3 linked regions of the Oreochromis niloticus genome follow. The protein of the gene in region 1 interacts with the protein of each later gene in a pairwise test. Links are inferred from orthologs where the notes say so. Each region holds a gene or a part of one and is shown on either strand. Other genes may lie near its edges.

Evidence for each region. The genes of interacting proteins can lie anywhere in the genome.
Region 2: the proteins of nuclear factor 7, brain (region 1) and ubxn6 interact in binary tests that used the Homo sapiens proteins (3 or more experiments, as listed by UniProt). The link is inferred for Oreochromis niloticus from reciprocal best matches to the Homo sapiens genes TRIM39 and UBXN6.
Region 3: the proteins of nuclear factor 7, brain (region 1) and poli interact in binary tests that used the Homo sapiens proteins (3 or more experiments, as listed by UniProt). The two-hybrid records come from large-scale screens. The link is inferred for Oreochromis niloticus from reciprocal best matches to the Homo sapiens genes TRIM39 and POLI.

What each region holds. Positions count from the first base shown.
Region 1 is NC_031966.2:22,736,361-22,743,680, forward strand, and holds the start of nuclear factor 7, brain, read right to left. Parts: upstream 3,011-7,320; 5' UTR 2,824-3,010; coding exon 2,299-2,823; intron 1,558-2,298; coding exon 1,462-1,557; intron 1-1,461.
Region 2 is NC_031986.2:39,718,782-39,725,659, reverse strand, and holds the start of ubxn6 (UBX domain-containing protein 6), read right to left. Parts: upstream 3,011-6,878; 5' UTR 2,877-3,010; coding exon 2,794-2,876; intron 2,327-2,793; coding exon 2,169-2,326; intron 1,177-2,168; coding exon 1,112-1,176; intron 514-1,111; coding exon 385-513; intron 286-384; coding exon 188-285; intron 71-187; coding exon 1-70. Other genes in the region: uap1 (UDP-N-acetylhexosamine pyrophosphorylase), read left to right, coding at 6,175-6,457. UniProt on the Homo sapiens protein: May negatively regulate the ATPase activity of VCP, an ATP-driven segregase that associates with different cofactors to control a wide variety of cellular processes.
Region 3 is NC_031977.2:28,645,211-28,652,553, reverse strand, and holds the start of poli (DNA polymerase iota), read left to right. Parts: upstream 1-4,333; 5' UTR 4,334-4,530; coding exon 4,531-4,624; intron 4,625-4,744; coding exon 4,745-4,864; intron 4,865-4,951; coding exon 4,952-5,116; intron 5,117-6,187; coding exon 6,188-6,334; intron 6,335-6,530; coding exon 6,531-6,767; intron 6,768-7,093; coding exon 7,094-7,272; intron 7,273-7,343. Other genes in the region: RNA exonuclease 1 homolog, read right to left, coding at 52-166, 261-404, 491-846, 1,307-1,565, 1,975-2,070, 2,159-3,561, 3,951-4,104. UniProt on the Homo sapiens protein: Error-prone DNA polymerase specifically involved in DNA repair. Plays an important role in translesion synthesis, where the normal high-fidelity DNA polymerases cannot proceed and DNA synthesis stalls. Favors Hoogsteen base-pairing in the active site.

The DNA of each region.
Region 1 (7,320 bases):
ACTAACTAGTTACTAACTTTGCCTGTCAGTGCTTAGTAGGTAAAGCACAGCTGATTTGTAAAACGTTTTTCTTTTTTAAAGCAATAGCAAGACTCTAAAATGCCCCTTAAAGCTGACAGAAACCAAGTCTGTCTTCAAAATGCTTAACTGCTTTAGAGTTTGTATGATAACGATCTCTGAGTCTTTTTAAGCTCTTCCTGGGGTGGAAAAATACCGAGCTATGCTGTGACAAACGGTGGGGTTCAGTTTTATTTTGTCACATTTGAAATTTTTGTTACATGTTTTTGTTTTAATAGGGTTTTATTATTACAGAGTTATTACTATTTAATAAATATATATATTTTTTAAACTGTTGCATGTCAGTGAAAATGATGACACACTTACTTCTCATTGACTGTAATGGTGTGACACTAAAACTGGATGTGTCCTATTTTACTGTTATTGTTGCATAAAATTATATTTTTTCTTCTTCTCTGGAAATATGACTACAATCTTATATTCAATAGATTAAATCAACAACTTTACACTGTGACTGTTCAGACCAGAAGTGGTTCATGAAATGGGAAAAATCAGTAATTGTTATGAGGAGACGATACATTTTATGTCATGTGGCACAAATGATTATATCGATCGATAGATAGATAGATAGATAGATAGATAGATAGATAGATAGATAGATAGATAGATAGATAGATAGATAGATAGATAGATAGATAGATAGAGGTATGTCTGCATTTTTAACACAGAGAAGAAAAAGTGACAAACTTCCTCTGCTCTACCACATCCTGTCATACTGACAGAGAAAGGGAGAAGTGAAGAAAAAAAAATCTGTGAATCTGCATGTAAACTGGGTCAAACAGACAGACAGGAAAATACACCCGCTGACACATTTAAACACACAGATAGTAAAGGAAACAGTCTGTAATAACCTGGAGCAGAGCTAGACGAAGTTATCTGCCACTGCAGAAATGCTCCAGTGCATTCTCTAACACTACCCTCATATCTGTGTTTAACACACACAGCGAGTGTTTCGGTGAACTCCTTCCTGTGCCTGTCGAAACTCTATCAGCTGAGTTCCCTCGCAAGCTGTGTGACATGAAGCAGTTAGGGCACATGAATGGCAAAAACATGTGAAAGAAGAGCGCATGACGAAGACAAACACAAAATGACGTGTGTGAATGTTCATGAACCTCCCTTTTTATTCCAGGATGAGCTCCTGATAATTATCACGTCTAAACAAAGATGAGTAAGAACATGGTGTGTCACCACCAGTCGTTAGTACCACCAGTCATTACTACTGCCAGTCATCCCTCTGTCTTGACAGGTAAAGGTGGAGGAATGCGTCAGAATGTTGCCTGGCCGCTAGAATTTCTGGTTATATTTAGAGGACAAACACACTGGCGTGTTTTTCTTTCACAGTGCTTCACAAAGAAACAGCCAGCACACACAGAGACACGATACCTTAATGAGGAGGATCTTTTCATTGGTCTGTTTTTGGAAGAGTGTGGCCTCCTCTGTCTGCACCTGAACCCTCTCCAGAGCCACAGACAGCTTTTCCTGCAGGACAAACAGATAATCACATAAAAACGTTTGTTGAAAAGAGGTTATATAAACCAGATTACGCTTCAATCAACAGTTAATTTGATTCGTGCATCAGTCTGAACAGCGTCCCGTCTTTAATGGGAGTCATACATCCGCCAATCCTCAACTGAGCGCCCTGACCCCAAAAATCTAACAAAGCTGGAATTTAGCACTGCTTAAACATGTTAAGACACACAGAGAAGCCTCTCAGAGCAGGTTTCCAAACAACATGATGAAGGTCAGCTGCCAGGTTTGAAAGGTAGTGAAGTTCACACAGGTCTGCTGAATTCCTGTAATGCACAAAAATACCCAAAGACTCCTGGGGCAGACAGGGAGTGTGCTCTTTAAAGCACAACTGCTACATCTATGAAAAGCCTGTTTGCTACATTAGAGCAGTTGAGGGGTTTTTTTAGTAAAAAAGTAGTTTTGACATGACTTAAAGGAATACTTGAAACTTGAGAGGGAATACAGTACTGCAGTACAATAAGAGGAGTGTCCAGTTGTAAGCATTGTAAAGTATGACACTCCTTGAAACTCTGATTCCTTGTTTTATCTAGAAGCTCCAGCTGTTACACTGTAGAGCAGAAAAAATACAGTGGAAAAAGAAATCAAATTTGGTGATTATGTTGGTCAAATCAAAACATTGTCTGTATATGTCTGATTTAAGGTTTTGGAAGACCCGGAGCCTTAAAAAATGAGCCAATAATAAAACAGTACCCTGTAGTTTTCAAAAGCCTCTGTAATGGGGATGACATTGTGGCTCTTGTGGTCTCGAGACATTCCGCACACTAGGCAGATGGGAAGCTGGTCGTCCTCACAGTAGAGCTTCAGCTTCTCCTCGTGTTCCTCGCACATATCCAAACCCATTCCCAGGCGTGGCCAGTGCCCGATGGACGAGGCCACGCTGCTCATGCTCGAACCCCGCTCGCGGTCCTCGGGCATCTCCAGTGTACCTTCGTGGTCCCACACGCACATCCCCGAGGCCGCGTCCATGGCGCGGGCTCTGCGCACACTATCCACGACGTTGCACAGGAGCGAGTTGGGTCGCAGTTTCCGGGCGCACGACTTTCTACACTTCGGGCAACTCGAGAGTTCGTCCGCCTTAGCTTCCCAGCACTGGATGATGCACACCTGGCAGAAGTGGTGCCCGCACTCAAGGATCACGGGATCACGGAAGAGTTCCAAACACACCGGGCAGGTGAGCTCCGACTGTAGCTCTTCAAGCGCGCTGGCCTCCGCCATCCTCTGCTACGCTCATACTTCTCAGAAGACACGTCTGTGGGAAACACTGTAACGGGGAAACAAGACTAAACTGCTCTTCCGTTCAAATTCAGGGAGGGAGTGGTCTGACGCTGACAGCAGTACGACTTTTTTTCACGGAAGAGGCCAAAGGCGTGTAGAAACAGGCTCGACTGGGCGTGATGAAGGGCTCCATTAAAGGGCGCGGTGTGTTTATGATTGCCCAGAGCGAAAGAGGGTTTCTTAGAAAGAACAGTAACAAGAAAGGTCACGTTATTGCTGCGAGGAAATATATGCGGAATTTTTAAAAGGGGGTTGTACCAGGAACAAATTGGCTGACTTGTTGGTTTATAAGTTTTAAATTATTAAACACTTACAGGAAATAAATCAGAAACGTGTGAGCTGAAACTTCTGTGTAGTAGGTAAAAGACACAAACCCAAAAGTGATTTCCCGTATTTGCCAAAAAACGATCGCAAAAAACGATTTAAACAGCTCTGAATAAGTTGTTGGCCTATAAACTCATACAAACCTATCTCTCTCTGAGGATATCAAGTCATTTTGAGACAGAAACGACATTCCTGTCACAATCTGCAATTAATCTTTGGCAGAGTTACTTTTATTTGTTCTTTATTTATCCAGCAAAAAAGTCTCACTGACATTAAAAATGTAGTGTTTTTTAAAGATCTTGCCAAGAAGGCAGCATAAATTGCAACAATTATGACATCACAGCTCTATAAAGATGTTTTAAGTGGCCAAAAGGGGCTGGATTCATTACAATGTAGCTACAATAACGCAGAAATACTTTTACTAATTTCTATATTTTATGTATAATCTCTTCTTAAATCCTGTTGATCACAGTCTATTTATAAATATAAGTAAAGACATTAAACATGGAAACATACAGAAAGATGGAACAACAGTTGGAACAACACCCATCTCAGACAGAATTGAAAGCATTTACAGGCTTTTGAAGATTGAAACTAAGTTTTGAAGCCTTGAAATGCATTTGAGTTTCCTTCTTCACAAATACATCACAGGTTTTACCCTACATGTTTTCATAGTGTCGGTGTAATCAAGTCCCATTAATGGCATTTATGGATGTGACTCTATTACACTGTAGAGGCGCAGCTACTTAATATAGACAACACTGAATAAATTTGTGTTAATACTCATGTAAGAGAGCATTAGCGTACATGTATAAGGGCTCTTTAATTTGGCCTTTAATTGGGCTTTAAATTAAACTTGTCTCCCCAGGTAATCCCCAAGAACACACACACACACACACACACACACACACACACACACACACACACAGCCTTTGAGTCAGCAAAGCATGACACAGAGCAAGGAAGAAGGGAAGGGAAAGTAGCTGACACCAAGAAAAAAACCCACTCTTGCCAGCGTTCTTCAATTAAACTTATATCCCTGCCTGTCTATGGATTACACTTTATCATGCTAATGCAAATAAAGCCTTATTAGTCTCAGTCAATTTTATACACTTTGCATAATTAATTTCAGGGTCATGTAGGTCATCCTGCCACCTGCTGTTGTTCCTCTGAGTGCTCAGTAGATGGCCCTGATGATCAGTCTACCAGGTGCATTTTTAAGATAAGGACTGACGCAGTATTTGCTCCTTTGCTCCTGGATTTTTCCTCCAGACATTAAATTTGAGACCAGCTTGTTGTAAACTGTATCCATTTCATAAATTAACTATCAGAATATTTTTGGGGGGAGGCGATATATTAAATATTATAACAAGTTTTCCATTCTGGTGGTTTTCTCATGAATATTAAAAACATTTTCTCAACAAATGGTTTCAATCCTAAGATTATTTAGGGGTTTCTCAGAGAGGTGAGATTACGTCTAAACTTTTGTGTGCCCAAAAACTCAAACAGCTTGTGAGTCTTCTTCTTCTTTCCACTTCTCCCTTTAGGGGTCGCTACAGTAGATCATCTGCCTCCATCTCACCCTGTCATTAGCATCCTCATCTGCTACATCATGCCCTCCTTTCTAATCCAGAGAAAATCTTAACATCTTTAAATCTTCCACCTGTCTTTTTGTTAGTGCCACATTCTCCAAAGCATACATCATAGCAGGTCTTCCTACCTTCTTGTAAATCCTCCCTTTCATTCTTTCTTCTATCATGTCACAAATCACACCTGAAGCTTGTCTCCGCCCACTCCACCCTGCCTGCACTCCTTTCTTCCCCTCTCTTGTGGACTGTCCACTGCTTTGGATCATTTATCTTAACTTCCTCTGCTTTTTGGTGCTTCCCCATTACACCCGTCTCCTTACACACACACCTATTCTGTCTCGCTTTTACTGACTTTCATTCGTCTTCTCTCGAGAGCATACCTCCACCTAGGCTGTCTTCCACCTGCTCCCTACACCCGTTGTCAAAGGAGACTCCAGACTTCATCTGTCAGCCTGTCCATCACCATCTTAAGTAGGAAGGTCAGTTCCCTGACGTAATGCCATCCCCACATTTCACTCATACCTCACACCTCACCACTGTCTCGCTGTCCTCATACATGCCCTCCACCACTTCTCTGCCACTCCTGACTTCCTCCTGCAGTCCCACAGTTCCACTCTAAGCTCCCTGTCATGTGCTTTCTTTAGATCCACAAAGACACTGGTCTTTGTACTTGTATACTTCTCCATAAACACTCTGAAAGTAAATATGGCATTTGTAGTTTTTGTTCTGCATTTGTGTGTGTTCTGTGTTTATTTTTCACTACACCGTAACATCCTGCATTTCTGTAGAAACAGAACAATCATGGCTAGATGTAGAGGCAGCGTGTTTCATACGTTTAAAATCCTATAAATCATAGAAAACTGAAACCAGTAAATATGACATTTTCCCAATGCCCACAAATGCTGTAGATAGTGAGAGAGTAATTCCATGAGGTTTGATGGCTGAATGATACCAAGTAATATCCGGCCAGGCTTACTAAAACCAGAATCAATATGTATATGTAATTTCATTAACTCTATTTATTTTATAGCACCAAATCACAAGGACAGTTGGCGACAGTGGGAAGAAAAAACTCCCTTTTAATGAGAAGAAACCTCCAGCAGAATCAGGCTCAGGGAGGGACAGCCATCTGCTACAACTAGTTGGGGTGGGGGCTGAAAGACAGAATGAGGACACGTTGTAGAAGAGTGCCAGAGATAAATAACAACTAATGATACAATGCAGAGAGGTGTAAACACATAGTGAGTGAAAAAGGTGAATGAACAAGAAAGAAGTGCATCGTGGGAATCCCCTAGCAGCCTAGACCTAGTCCATTGTAACTAAGGGAGGTTTCAGGGTGACGTGATCTATCTGCTATATCAAAAAGAAAGGTTTAATACTAATCTTAAAAGTAGAGAGGGGTTCTGCCTCCTGAATCCAAACTGGGAGCTGGTTCTACAGAAGAGGGGCCAGGAAGCTGAAGGCTCTGCCTCCTATTCTACTTTTAAAGTAAAGTAGTCAGGCAGTGATAATCAAATGCATTTAACTGACTGATCATCAGTAAGTATGACCGCCTCTATAAAATCAGAGGTTTGAACAAGTTTGTCTTTTTTGGAAGGACTATCGGGAGAAAGCCTCTTTGCTCTAAAAGAACATGCACCCATTTTTGTGATGGCTGGGTCATGCAATAAAACAATGATCCCAAGCACAGCAGCAAATCTATAACAGAATGGCAGAAAAACAAAAGCATCAAGATATTGCAATGTCCCAGATGGACACAAACCGTCTTCCTTACAACCAACGCTGTAAAGAAGAGTGGACCACAATTCCTCCACAGTGATGTGAGATGCTGATAAAGTCATACAGAAAACCATTACTACTTCACAGAACCAGTAGCTTGTAGAAAACAAACTTTCCTTTCACATGTAAGTATCAGGATGTTTTTCATTTAGATGTGTGAAAAGTATCTAATCTGTAGTTTTCTGCTGTGACCATGGTTTCTTTCATATTTTTTGTTTTTTCTGCATTCTGACAATTCCTAAATGTAGTGAATCATAATTTTTTTATTAAAAAAAATGACTAAAATGGAGAATTTCCCCACAAATTGAGCACTTAACAAAATAAAGAAGCCACATACTGGTAGCAAACATTTGCTATTTTGGCAATTGAGAAATCGGGGAAGCTCTGTGAGGAGCTTTTTTTGTCTTTCAGAAACCTTCTGGTTCTGACATCAAGCGGAGTTTTGATGACAGAAGGAAAAACCAATGAGACAGAAAGAGAAACAGAAACATTTCACAGCATATGATTACATTAATACATCATTTGTCAAATGACTGTCAATAAACACCTGATGCTGCATTAAACATGTGCTGGAGCTGGTTTAGGACAGTGGTAACAGAAACGGGTGTTTGGTTTTCATTATGAATCATTGCATTTCACACCGCTCTGCCTCAAACGAGATACACATCTCAAAGTTTCCCATGATGTTTCTTTTTTTAAGGTACAAAGTGTAATAAGGGAGATTCTCCTGGCCATTAAAAGTGTA
Region 2 (6,878 bases), on another chromosome or scaffold:
CACTTTGTTGTTGAGTTTAATTTTCCTGTATTTCTCTTCTGTGGGGTTCTTGCATATATTTTCAACATATCTGGAAACAAAACAATGACAACAAAAAAACCTTTGATGTCTAGAACAGATATTCAAAATCTGTGACAACAGCATAAAACATTTACATATGTAATTAACATAACCATCAGCGTCTTACTTGCTTATGATGTCCACCGCAGCCTTCACTTTCTCTCTGTCTTTGTTAAATGTGTGCATCATCATAACCGACGCCTCGACTTCATCTTCCTCAAACCGCTGCAGTCAAAAATGGCATGTTTATCAAAAGCACCAACGAGATTAGCATTCAGTCTGACTGCACACACGTTATAACTGAACCAACATCCTCAGACATACCATTAAAATGGCCTCTTTAATGTGTACTTCCCTCTCGCTCTTGGTTAATGTGGCTCCAGTTAGTGGACAGATGAAATAGACACCTGATACTGAGAGAAGGGTGGGATCTTTCACTGGCACTTTGGAGCCCTGGGAGGAAAATGTCATTCAGTGTTGTTAGATTCAGTGATGAAATTTTCATCCACACCAACAGGCCACCGCTATTACTCTGAATTTAATACAGCTCACATGAATAGCTGGCTCCTTTTCTCATATTCTCAATTAGGCCTCACTACCACTGACAAGCATAAAGGGTTTTTTATGCATATAAAAAAAAATTGGTGCCCATAAAAAAAAGAAAGTTCTGGCTTTTCAACTAAAGAAAACCACCAGGATTGTGATAAAAACATTTTAGTACTGAACAGGTTTAAGGTAAATAAGGGAAGACTAAAACAAAAGCCCACTGTCTGGCTGGAGAAAGTCACCTACTTTCCAATATTATGAAACTGACATTGAGATGAACAGCTGTCTGCACCTATGCTGCCCTTTTTGACACTGGACACTGTATGATAGGCTGTGTATAAACAGGAATATTCACTTTAATCAGCCGTGAAAACAGCTTATCAGGAATACTGTCTTCTTCAAAGTGAAAGAAAAAATGGAAATATTTTATGAAGTTAAGCACAGTCGATGTGAACCAAAATTAGCATGAAAATTGTGTCACAATTCTGGTTTATGCAACACTTACCTCTGCTGCAGCTGCCTTTTCTTTTTCAGCAAGTGCAGCTGCCTCGGCCTCGAGTTCTCTTTTTACTGCAAGCACGTGTAGAAAACAACCGTCATAACCAGAATATATTTGCTTCATCAGTGTAAAACAGTATCTAATCATATCTACTTTCCGTGGACTTCACAGGTTTAGCATCTTAACATAAACATAAAGATTATGTACTTGACACATTTTTTCCCATGAATACAAAAACAATGATTTTTAAAAATAAATACTTCTTTGATTCAGGGACGTTTTGCTACCTCAAGTGGAAGAATTTAAATATCTGAGAAGGAAGCAAGAGACTGACAGACTTCTGCAGTGATGCAGGGTGAAGAGAGAGCTGATCAGTGGTCACAAGTTCTGGGTAATGACTAAAAGAATGACACTGTGGATGCACACCTTGGACAGTAGTTTTCTCCGAAGGGTAGCTGGCCTCTCCCTTAGAGACAGGGTGAGGAGTTGATTTGTGAGGGACTCAGAGTAGAGCTGCTCCAAACAACTGAGGTTGTTCGGGGATCTGACTAGTACGCCTCCTAGGTGAGGTGTTCTGGGCATGTCCTACTGGGAGAAGGCCCCAGGTAACACGCAGGACATGCTGAAAAGATTGTATCTCTCAGCTGACCTGGGAACACCTGTGTTCCCCCTAAATGAGCTGGAGGAAGTGGCTGGGGGGAGAGTCTGGGCTTCTCTGCTTAGGCTGCTGCCCTTACTACCCAGCCTCAGTTAAACAGCAGAAAATGAATGGATGGGTGACTTCTTTGATGATGTGGTTTTTCAGAGGTAATAAATGTTTCTGGTGTCTGTTCTTTCATAGATGTACTGGATATATTACAGTAGCAGATAATAAATTTAGAAGATATGACTTTTTTTAACTAGATCAACTGTAATAATCTGTAGAGTGCTTCAGAGTCTAAAACATGTTTAAATACCCACAACTGAATTATCCTAATACCCACAACTGAAACAAGGAGGCTGACGTTCATCTGTGTTTGAACTGAGACACCGCCTGGTGTAATAACAGGGCTGCATGTCTCACCCTGGGTCCTAATGGCGTCCTGGGAGGTGTGAACCTTCGGCTTCTGATGCTGTTCAATCCTGGCCAAGGCTGCAGCTCCAGCCCTCTGGGCTCCTTCACTGGGGGCATGCCGATCGTGCTTGCTACTGGATCTACCCTGCACCACCTCAGGCTTGGCACTGTAGGGTTATTAGGAGAGAAACAGCACTATAAGAGGAGACGTGTTGTGGCTTCACAGTAGGAAGAAGACAGTGCTAAGCTAAGTAGCAACGACAACAGTACAAATACGTCAGAATCACAGCAGCTCTGCTTCCTGTTGAGAAGCAGGTTTGCTTAGTCCTTTATCTAAACAAGCTTGTGCAGGGATTAACTGTTAGTCAGGTTACCCTGAAATTATACAGTCGCCTCCCGCCGTGCTCAAGATTATATAACAGTTAGCCGTTTGACGCACAACCGTGAGAAAAACACACACAAATTAGCACTGTTGTGGTTAGCTTCAATACATGGGGAGACGGAAAAGCGGTACTCATTACTGACCAACTGTCAGCTATGAGATAAGCCCGTTTAGCCGATGTTAAATAGCTATCTGTACGGCTAGCTTTGCTTAGCGCTGTAGCAGCTGAGAAAAGAAAAGTTTGTTATTTGCCTGGTGTCTTCCGTTAGTTTCTTCCCGGGTCCCGCGGATTTAAATTTGATGTCTTTCTTAATGTCATCGAAAAACTTCTTCATTTTCTGTAGCCGCACAAAAATCTGACCACCAGGGAAAAACAAACAGATGGGCAGCACCCAGCCTGGTTTTAGCGAGGAAGAGGAGGACCACAACAAAATTGTTTCAAATGAGAACAAACTGCTTCCGCCTCATCAGGAGAGACGGTCGCCCCCTCGTGGTTGAACTCAGAAGTGAAAGTCCAACCATTCCAGATCAGTGGTTCGTGTTTTACAAGGCAACTTTTTTATAATTGACCTTTTTTTTTTCTTTTGTTTGTTTACATGTACTTCCATGTTCTCAGAAATTTGTGCATATTACCCTAGTATTGACTGGCTCAAAGGTCAGCACAGAAATTGGTTTGTGTTGATTATCGTTTTAAAATTAAGTGTTTTAATCTTACAATTAGATTTAGAACTAGTCTATTAACAGACTATTGTGGCTATTTTTTCAGGTCAATGAACTGAACTGAAATGAGTATACAGTATCAGCTGGGTGCTGCTGATAATCATCCAGTCTGACACCTGGCATTATCAGAGCAGCCCCCTCTAACTCTTTAGGTGTCTGAGGATTCTGGATTTGGGAGCCTGACAGGATCCTATTTGGAGCTGCTGTGTTGTCAGCCATGGACTCTGTCACCAAACAACAGTCGGGTTTTGTGCCAACGTTTCAGCAGCTGGATCATACAGCTCTCAAGGCTGCTGCTGAGAGCTGTATGAAATAAGCTATTCTTATTTCTGTTAATGATAAGAGACAATAATGATTTGGGGTCAGCAGGGCTGCTGCCATCTCATTTCTGTAGCTATCTTTTGTGTGTGTGTGTGTGTGTGTGTGTGTGTGTGTGTGTGTGTGTAGGGGGGGGGGTTCAATGTAAGTTTTTTTTAGGACGTGCATGAAATAATTAAAGGGTAATACATGCTTTCTCTTCAGATAAACACAATTCATATGCTAATTGTTAGAAAATGAAGATAAACACACACACACACAAGTGGAGATATGTACATTAGCTGGTTCATTGAAGCTGACTGCTCTGTCTCTACCTGTCTGATGGTTTACCTTTGATTACATTCATAAAGCTGTTAAAGACTATCAAAGACTGTTAAAAACAAGTAGAAATATTTTGCATTTTACATGATTTGAATACAATATTTATAGTGAAAAATCATGACAAGTAGTATGACATAAAGCGTGCATGATTCAAAACATGTCAGCAAATGCAGATATATCAGAAAAAGAAGTGCATTTTCATCTCTTTATTAAAGAATTAAAAGAAACTGTCAACATATCTCTTTGGGCTCAGTAGGCGAAGCCATAAAATTTATATAAATAAAATTTACAAAAATACAGTTAGTCGTTCATTTTGCTTCACATTTTCCAAAGCTGTCCAGAGGTAATAAGAGTCTTTGCTGGTGTGGTGCAAAAAAACCGATTAGCTATATTTAAAATGCTGTACATGACTTGTTGCAATATAATCTGACAAGAAAATTTCAGACATGTTTCTCAAACATGATTTCAAGACAAAATAAAAGCTGTGATCAGTTTTTGGCAAGGGGACTTGTATATATCCTTCATTTATCCTGGTAAAAAGGGAAATTGACGTCAAAAATGTATTTTTCAAGAAAGATGTGCCCAAGAGGGCAGCAGAAATGGCAAGAAATGGTTATCTCAAGATATTTTAAGTGGCCAAAATAGAGTGCTGTGATTATAAAATAGGTAAAATCAAGAAAGGTTCTTGCAAAACAGGCCATGTCTTTATTTTATATATAACCTTTTCAGAAATCCTATTGACTACAGTCTATTTAACAATATAAGCAAATATATTACATAGATAGAAAACAGTTTTTGGCACAACACCTGACAGATTCTGGCTCCCGTGCCTTTTTTCCCCCACACTCCTAGCATAGAGTGATTAAATTTACAGGTGGCACTTGAACGCATCTCTGACTTGGCTACACATACACACGCGCACACTGATGCCACGTCAAATGTGACGTAGCAGGAGGTGTATTCCGGGAGGGAGGCGTATAGTGACCAGTGCGAGCGAGTAGTCATCGATTGGCATTAATGATCTTACACCGGAGAGGAGTCTTTGTGAGAGGTAAGAGTTAAATATTTGATTTACTTCTATCTGCTATGTGTACAGCGAGCCGAGCGGTTTCCCGCTCCTCAGTCGGGCGGATATTTGCTAACATGTGCCCGGCTGTAGCTTGACTGATGCGCAGACCGCGGCTAACTATCATATACAGTGACTGAAAATGTGGTTCACTAAATCTACGCGCTTCTTAGCAACAGTCTGTATTATTACACTGTGCTAACACTGGATTTATCTGTGCTCCGAGTCAACACAGCAGTCCCTGCTACCTCTTTACAGGCTCAACGTCGCGGTCATGCTGGAGACGTGAAGTTTAAAAGTTGTATGAACACTTTAACTATAAGTGATATATGAATATTGTGTATTACAGCTGTAGATAGTTCAGGGTGTGTGCCTGTGGTGTTAGTCGTCAGCATCCCATTGGAAAGCTCACTTACAGAGGAGGTTTCTTTGGTGTAAACCCTCTTAGAAAACATCGCGGGTTCATAATATCGCGTTGTGACACAGCTATTATTTTACTGTTGTAATTATCAATCATAATAAGCAAACATATTGGGTATAAAAGAGTCAGTATTCACACTGTGGTATAACATGAAACTGTCCTCGACCTTATCCTTTAGTGTTGTGATGACTTCCTGTCAAATGTGGGTGTGGAGTCAAACAAATAGGATAAGCATTCCAGCAGTGCTTGTTTTACCAACACTACAACTAGCACAGGGCTATAAGATACTCTTATCATGTTTCACTTTAGGCACATTGACTATGTCATCAGTTTTTTTTTTTAATCCTAAATTTGTTTTTATATACACATACAGTTTCTTGGGAGCTCAAAATGAGCTTTTAGTGGTAACTGTGCCAATAAATATGACTGGTCCACATGAATTTTTTGGAAAGAGTCTGTGTTACCTTATCTAACAGATTATTTCTGCAATTTTTTGTCAATTTTACTTCAAAAAATGTATTTAAGGGTGAATAAAACCTCACTGTTTAAAAAAAGCTACAAGTATTTTTAATAAAGTCCTTGCGGAAGGCCAGATCTATATGTGGGGAAAAACCCTGCAAATGTTTGGATATTGTAGTGTGACCTTTCTCTTATCATCTCTTTTTTTATATTTACATAAAGGCCACCGGCTTATACAAAAACAACACGAGACCTGGGGCATTTTTTGCAGTTCTTTTTAAATAACATAATCTTTTTTTCCCACAGTTAATTAAAAGCACAGGTGATCATGGACCCAAACATCAGCGCACTCAGGCAGAAGCTGGCTGACGCCGGCCAGTCTCACCTCCTGCAGTTCTGGAACGAGCTGAGCCCTGAAGAACAGGCCGAGTTGACCCAAGAACTGGAGGGTATGGACTTTCAGGAGATCAACGGATTCTTCAAGAATGCCATGCAGACATCCAACAGCAGCAAACAAGGGAAGATGGACTGCCGCATGGAGCCGGTGCCCAGGGAGGTGCTGGGAAGTGTGACGAGAGACAGGGAGAGCGTCAAAGACTGGGAGTTGACAGGTGAAGTATATTCTCACCTATTTACTGCTTTTGACCTTTAAACTGTACTTACTCGGTATGCTGAGTGCTTTAAGGAAACAGAAAGCATTAGAATTGGGAGTATTTAGTTTTAATGAGAATATGTAAGCTATTATCACTTGTTAAACAAGATTCTCCTAGTTACTGCAAGCACATTTAACACAATGAAATCTTAACAGTGATGACCTGCAGGTAAGAGAGGAAAGCTTAACCGGTATCAGACTGGGAAGCTTAAGTGGATTAAAACATCACATGGGTAACCCAGCTGGATGAATAGTTGTTCTCATGGCAATATTTTTAAGTGTCCACATCCAGATGTTAGCTCGCAGAAAAACAGCCCATTAGATCAAAACTTTTGCAAAAGCTTATTACAAAGTTCTAGTCATGCTGCGTCAGAAGCTCC
Region 3 (7,343 bases), on another chromosome or scaffold:
GATATTTTTCAAACAGAACATTTCCTACAGCTTTTTCCATGAAGTGCTCACCTTTAGTAGCAACAGTGCTTTGACTCTTCAGCCTCTTGAGTGCATTCACTGCAACACTCATATATTTGAGCTTGTTCGCACTCCGATTGTACACCGTCTTCTCTTCAGCAAGAGCCTATCAACAGAAAGATCAGAGAAAAAATAAATACATACATGTTTCTCTTTCCACACTAGGGTTTGTTCATGAGGAGATGGTGGCATATGTTTACCTTTTCAAAGGCATCATTAACATTGGGTGTCGTTTTGAGGAACTCCTCTGTGAACATGTTGACATACCGCTGTCTGACATCATGGGGCACTTTGTCTTTGGCAGCCTCACACTGCTGCTTCAGTTTTCGTTTAGCAGGCAACGGCTGTGGGGACAGAACCACTTAATATTTATCAAGCGGGTTAAGCATTTAACTAGTACTGACGATCCAGGTTTAGTTGAAGTTCTTACCTTTGCAGAAGCTTGACCAGAACTTTGAGGAACAGTAGAAATAGTTGAACTTGAACGTAAAGATGCAGATGTAAAAGTAGAGTTTAGTAAAGGTCTGCGTGCAACAGCAGGAATGAGCATTGGTGCTGTCAGGCGGCATCGCTGCATAGGATGCATAGGAGTAACTGCATGTGGATGGTATGTTTGTTTGATAGCAAGGGCCCTTGTGTGAACCTGATTTATTGGAGTTAAAACTGGAGTAACTGGATTGGAATTGGAAGAAATGGGCACAGGGAAGGCACCGTCTGGAAGGATCAAATGCAAGTTGTTGCCCACTTCAATAACAGCTGGTCCCAAAGGTATATAGTTCACAAAAGCTGTAGAACAGAAAAAATGTGTACTGAGGAAAAGCTACTAAGAGCATACTCATACTAGACATGGTTTACTTGTACTGTGCCAATTAAAAAAGAAAAAATACACAAGATGCAAACTTGCACAGAAATTTTGGAAATGCTGCTAGAGCTACATAGAGCAATACAGGTATGCTTTAGTGATAAAACTTTCTATATCAAACACAAAAATACAATTTAAATGAAGTGCTTTCGTTTATTGGAATGGTTTTTGTATATATTATTGTATATACATATGTACATACATTGGTTGCACTTCAGATTAGATGCCAAACTGCATTTCATTTTTTGAGTTATACTATCTCAATGACAGTGATCTGAATCTAATCCAATTTCATTTACACATTATCATGCTCTTGCATTTTTAATTTTTTTAATGTGTCTAAGAACTAAACAATCATCACTACTACCGCCAACCGATACTTACCATTGCGCACAGGAGCGGGCTGCAGGGTTTCAGGGTTTTGAGTTAAAACAGAAGGTGAAAACTGGGTCTCTGGTTTCTTCTGAGAGGTGGAGGAAACAAAAGCCTGCCCACCTTTAACTGAGGCAGTCAGAGTGGAAGCTCTCTGCTGAACCTGCTGGGTTTTGGAACTGACAGAGGATCTAGAGCCAAATCCTGAAGTTACTGGCTCACAGAGTGGAACCAAAACCTGCGGCTGAGGCCTGCTCTTAGCTACTGGCTGCTGCACAGAGGAGGTCATTCAAAACACATGCTTAATTTTGATTATGCAATCCTGGGTAAAGATTAGTCAAATTACATCATGTCACAGCAGATCTTAAAAAAGGCCACGACTTCTAGTGAGTCATTACGGACATAAATGTCCAACGCTACTTTTTAATCTTCCTGAGGGTGACCTTTCATCTGCCAAGCATGGTGATTTTTTCACATTTCTGTCATATTATTTTTAATACATTATTCAATTAAAATTCTTTATCATTATTAAAAACTCTTGTAGCGTGGGTATTAAAATACTGTTTAGGCAATAAAAACTGTTTTGGATTGCATTAGTTTAAAACAAATTATAAAAATTTTAAAAAAAGGACATCTCCTGTCTAAACACACATTTTGCTATGAGACTGGACTGTACGTACCTCTGTTTGTTTGGCTTCATGAGCCACTCTTTTCCTTCCTGGTAATCCCTTGGATGTGACATTTACCTCCATCTTCTCTGCATCCACAGCCCCTAACTAAGAAATACAAGGGGAGAGAAAAAAATCTTTACATTCTCAAAAGAATTTCTTCATAATGAATTTGCAGTTTCTACAGGCTACTTACACATGCACTAGGAGTCTCTTCAGTTCCTTTTCCCTCATTGTTTGCCTCCATGAAGATCCTGTAGCATTCCTCCATTGGGTCGCTGTCTGAGAGCTCCACTGCTGAATGGTTGGGCCCTTCCTCCTCCTCATCAGAGCTGGAGTTGATTAGTATGACCTCTTCATCATTTACCATCACCAAATTCTGCTCAGAACACGGTTCGGCTCCGAATTGTGAGCTGACATAGGTTGACAAAACATGCCGACCCTCAAACTCACTGTTCTCTGACCCTTGTTCTGCTTGCTCTAGAGGCAACTTATCACCGTCAGCAGCTATTCCCTGTGTCTGTCCTGACATTTTGCTTGACTTTTTCTGGTTTCCCATCACCGCTGAGGGTGTACTTTTCTCAGAACACCTGTGACTTTGAACTCTGTCCTGAGGCACTTGCCTGCGTGATGAGTTAGCAGCTGGAGATTTACAAAAAAGTAAATTCATGGGCGTCTTCTGCGGATTCATTTTCTCAAAGATACTGGGCAGCTCACACTGAGGATTGTTCAGGTTGTGATCTTGTTGTTTGGGGATCTTCTCCAATACTGCTTTAGTAATTTTTTGACATTCATTTGCAAGGTCGTCTGGACTATCTGTTAAGTCCACTACATTGGCACCATTTTTTAGATCTTCAGACTCTTTGGCAGGACTTATAGTCAGTAAGTCTTGACTGTTTTCAACAGAATAATGATGAATTTTATTTGAATCTGATGAAGACAGAGTGATTTTATTGTGTGGTGATGGAGAATTAGGTAAATTAGGCTCTTTTTTCCCCCCCTTTACCTCCACTGCTGTCACCTGAGAGGATTTACCTGCTACAGACTTAGCAGTTCTCTGACCCGTTTTCTCAGGAGAAGGAGGAACATCAATAATTAGGTCTTCACCTTCAGAAGAGACATCAAGTGGCTCCGGAGATGGTGATCGGGAAAGCGGTGCCTGATACGCAAATGGTTCTTTATCAATACATGGGGCAGTGCTTTCTGGACTTTTGTCTTTTACTTGTCTACTTTTCAACTTCTGCTCCTTTGTCAATGAGCTGAGAGAGAGCAAGTCTGCAGAGAAGTTGGATAGTGGGTCATACTCCAAATCAGTCCTCGGTTTTGAGTTGTCAACCACATACTTCTTTCCTCGCTGGTGTGCTTTAGTAAAATCTGTGCGAGACGATGGCCCATAAGCTTTTCTGTCTACAGTTTTACTCCCAGACTCACGCTTGGAAGCAGGCGTGTTGTTTATGCGGTCTGCCTGTACAGTCTGGTAGCGTGACAGTCGCCTCCGCTCTTGCTCCACCTCATGCCTTACAGATTCAATCTCCTTGTTGATCCGCTCCAGCTCATGAAGGCAGTCATCTCCACAGCCCGTATAAGGCCTCTGTCCTTCTGTTCAACGTGAACATGAAATAGGATAAGTATTTACTTAAATGTAAGTGGCAGCTTGATCATTTGCAGTTTAGTTTTTAAGCAGTTTTTGTGCTATATGATGTGTGAAGATCCTATCGTGCCCCTTTAATGAGAAAGTAGAACTCAGGAAAACAAGGTAGAAGGTAGTTTTTTTTAAGAAAACACTTGTCCTTACCTGCAGTTACAATAATGTGCTTAATTTTTATGTTACACCTGTAACTTTAAAAACCCTCTTAATCGATTTAAAAGCTTCTTATAATTCCCAGGGTTTATGGGGGTTTTCTTAAACAATTAAACCCTTTTAACAGGTAAAACAGCAAGCTAATGCACAAGTGTTCGAAGTCAGTTGGCATAGTTGAAGCACTCACCTGTGAAGTCCACTTTGGATGATTCAAATGAGACAGCAAACCAGTCCCGCGCCTGCTTTGCAGGATGTTTGTATAAACAGTGAGGCCGCTCACAACGCCCATGTTGTGAGAAGGGGCAGTTTATACCGGCAAAAAAGCCCGAGGAGGGAAACATTAGCCACTTCGCGCAATTTTTTTCGCAGTTTTTTTTTTTTTTTTTTATAATTAACGAACGGACGTTAGCAGTTGGAGCCTCCAAATTAACGTCAGGTGACGTCAGCCTCGTTTATATAGGTTCTGCTCAGGTCGCGTGACGACTGTTGAAAAACTCATTTTAATACCCTCAAATAACACATTATTCCGTAACATTTAAAAATTTTGATTTTATTTATTATGTTTGCAAATTTAAAAAAAAAAATGCATTTATAGAAACTTTTTTTTGTAGTTGCTGCGTTGCAGTAACCCCTCCACGTCGAGAGACGGCAACGTTGCACGTAACTGAATTGGGACCTACAATGAAAGAACTATTACGACAACAACAGCAGCAGTAGTCGTAGCAGTCTATATTTCTGCAAAATTTATTAAATTTGCGAGTTTTGAGATGGAAAACAGCGAGGATGAGGAGGATGAAAACGAGTGGAGGAACAGTTTCGTGGATTCATCGACACATAGCCCCCCTGCGGCTGCTGCTTCAGGTAAACTTGGAGACTTAAGCTAGGCAGTCTGAAACTGAAATCTGACAGTTGCTCTTTGCTTTCATATGACTTTCAGAGTTCGAGATATGGTAACTGTTGTACATATAATGTGTGTTTCAGGACCAAGCATCAGTAAAACGCCAGTACCTGCACACAGAGTCATTTTGCATTTTGACCTGGACTGCTTCTATGCTCAGGTGGAAATGATCAGAAACCCTGCACTGAGAGAAGTCCCGTTAGGTAAACTCGCATGCTATAAAAGCTGCAAAAGACAAAAGTGTAAAAAATATTTGTGCCAAAGCTTCTAAATGACTCTCATATCATCAGGTATACAGCAGAAGTACATCATAGTGACCTGTAACTATGTGGCAAGGGAGAGGGGTGTCAACAAGCTTATGTCTGTGACTGATGCTAAGGAGAAATGTCCTGAGCTGGTGCTGGTTAAAGGAGAAGACCTCACGCACTACAGAGAGATGTCATATAAAATGACAGGTAAGCAGTGCATCACACCAGTGTGACGTGACAACAGTGCTCTGTAGTAAATAAAGTAATTTTTTTTGTCGTAGTGTGCAGTATGACATTAAAGTGCACTCTGAGAAAATGTAATTGTAGTTGCTACAATAAAAGAAGCTTGGAAGATCAGACCAAGTGCTAAAAATGGAGATTAGGGTCGCACCATAGCAATCAGGTTGGACTTTGGTCCACTGCAGCATCTTAATTCTTTTCTTTTTCAGCCATTCTGCTGTAGATTTTCTTTTCAGGTTCTGTGGCTGCAAAACAAGCCCAGATTAGCACCATGCTTGACAGCTGGTATAAGGTGTTTGCGCTAATATGCTGTTTCTTTGATTTACAGCCAAATATTTCCACTTTGGCTTTGAAAAAAAAAAGTCATCCTTGATTTGTGCTGAATGCTTTTTATAGAGGTGGTCACACTTGCTGATGAAAAAATAATCACCTGCATTTGATTTGCAGCACCTGGCTGGTACTTTACCCTCTTAATTCCTATGGAGGTATTCATGTGGTGGTATGCTTAGTTTTTTACAGGGCTACATAGAGTCCTGTAAAAACTTTTCACATGACTGAGAGATGTGGGTAACAAGAGGGCCTTGCTGTAACTTCTTTTGACTAGCCATTTATGCCAGATGGTGACATGACCCTTAAAGTTTATCTGGGATGCCGTTTTTCTCCGGTGACTAGTGTTTGTTTCTATGACATGGACTTATTTTCAGCTTGTAGCAAGCAAATTAAATAGTGAGCTGCTTAAAGCAACAAGGTATCAAATTTTGGAGTCGGTCTCTTAAAGAAAATCATGATTTGGGCAACTTTTAAATGCCACAATTCATAATAAAAACAACCCTTTTTGACTCAACTGCTAAAATCTCCCATTTCTACATTTCAGCATTTGTTTTCCTCAAGAATGTAAACAGTTTTTAACCCACTGTTTGGTTCACCACCCTCCTGGTGTTCCTGGGTGGTTACTAGAAACTAAATGGAGTAAATGGAATTGATGTTTTCATCTGATAACCGTTTGTATATATTTACCTTTTCTCGTTTGCCATCCAGAGCTGCTGATGTCTTATTGTCCTCTCGTGGAAAGGCTTGGATTTGATGAAAACTTCATGGACGTCACTGAGATGGTAGAACAAAGGCTTGCACAGACAGTGAAGTCTGAAGACTTTTCATTTAAAGGACACGTCTACAATCATCCAAGTAAGTCACATTCGTGCTTCTCAAGTGTAGATGTACATCTGGCCCACTGAAACTGGGAAATGGCTCGTGAAAATAGCTCAAACTCGTGAGATATTTGCATAGTGCTTTCAGTTTCGTTCTTCATGAACAGCTCACCTGCAGATCCTAAACTGTATCACGTGTGCTCATACCCACAGTTTTTCCCCTTCCTGTTCAGGTGCAGATGTTAAAGCCAGTAACTACCCAAGGTTGGCTTTAGGTTCACACATTGCAGGAGAGCTCAGAGAAGCCGTCCATAGCAAACTGGGCCTGACCGGCTGTGCTGGCATCGCCACAAACAAGCTGCTAGCCAAACTGGTTTCAGGCACCTTCAAACCCAACCAGCAAACCACTCTGCTCCCAGAAAACATCAGTGACATCATGGGCTGCCTAGGCAGTGTCCGCAAAGTGCCAGGTATAGATGCTCTAAAAGATAGTTAATCATCAGTAGATGGTAGGTAGGTGAACAGAAGTACATAACATGATATGCATCGAGAAACCCGTGTGGTGTCCTCGGGATTCCCATATACTTGTTTGCCATTCACCTAGGGACCATTTTTGACCCGAGGACACCACAAGGGTTACGTTTTAATGACTTATAGTTGTTACACTGTTGTCCTTAACATTTGGAGCATTTTTAAAGATGCTTTCATCCAAAACTCACTGATGCATTTTTGTTGTGTCTCACATGTGTTAAGTATGTCTGATGATATATTTTGTGGTGCCATCTTGTATTCTCAGGGGTGGGTCACCAAACTGCTAAGAGACTTCAAGCCCTGGGATTGGTCAGTGTAAAAGACCTGCAGCTGTGTCCGCTGAATGACCTGGTGAAGGAGTTTGGGAGTCCCACTGCTCAGCGTTTGAAGAATCTGGCCCTCGGTGTTGATGACTCACCTGTCACTTGTACTGGGGCCCCTCAGGTAGGCTGGGACATCTGAAATTCCCGGTATCTAAGAAAGCTAGGGTTAGGTAGCTGTATGAGTTTTTCTGC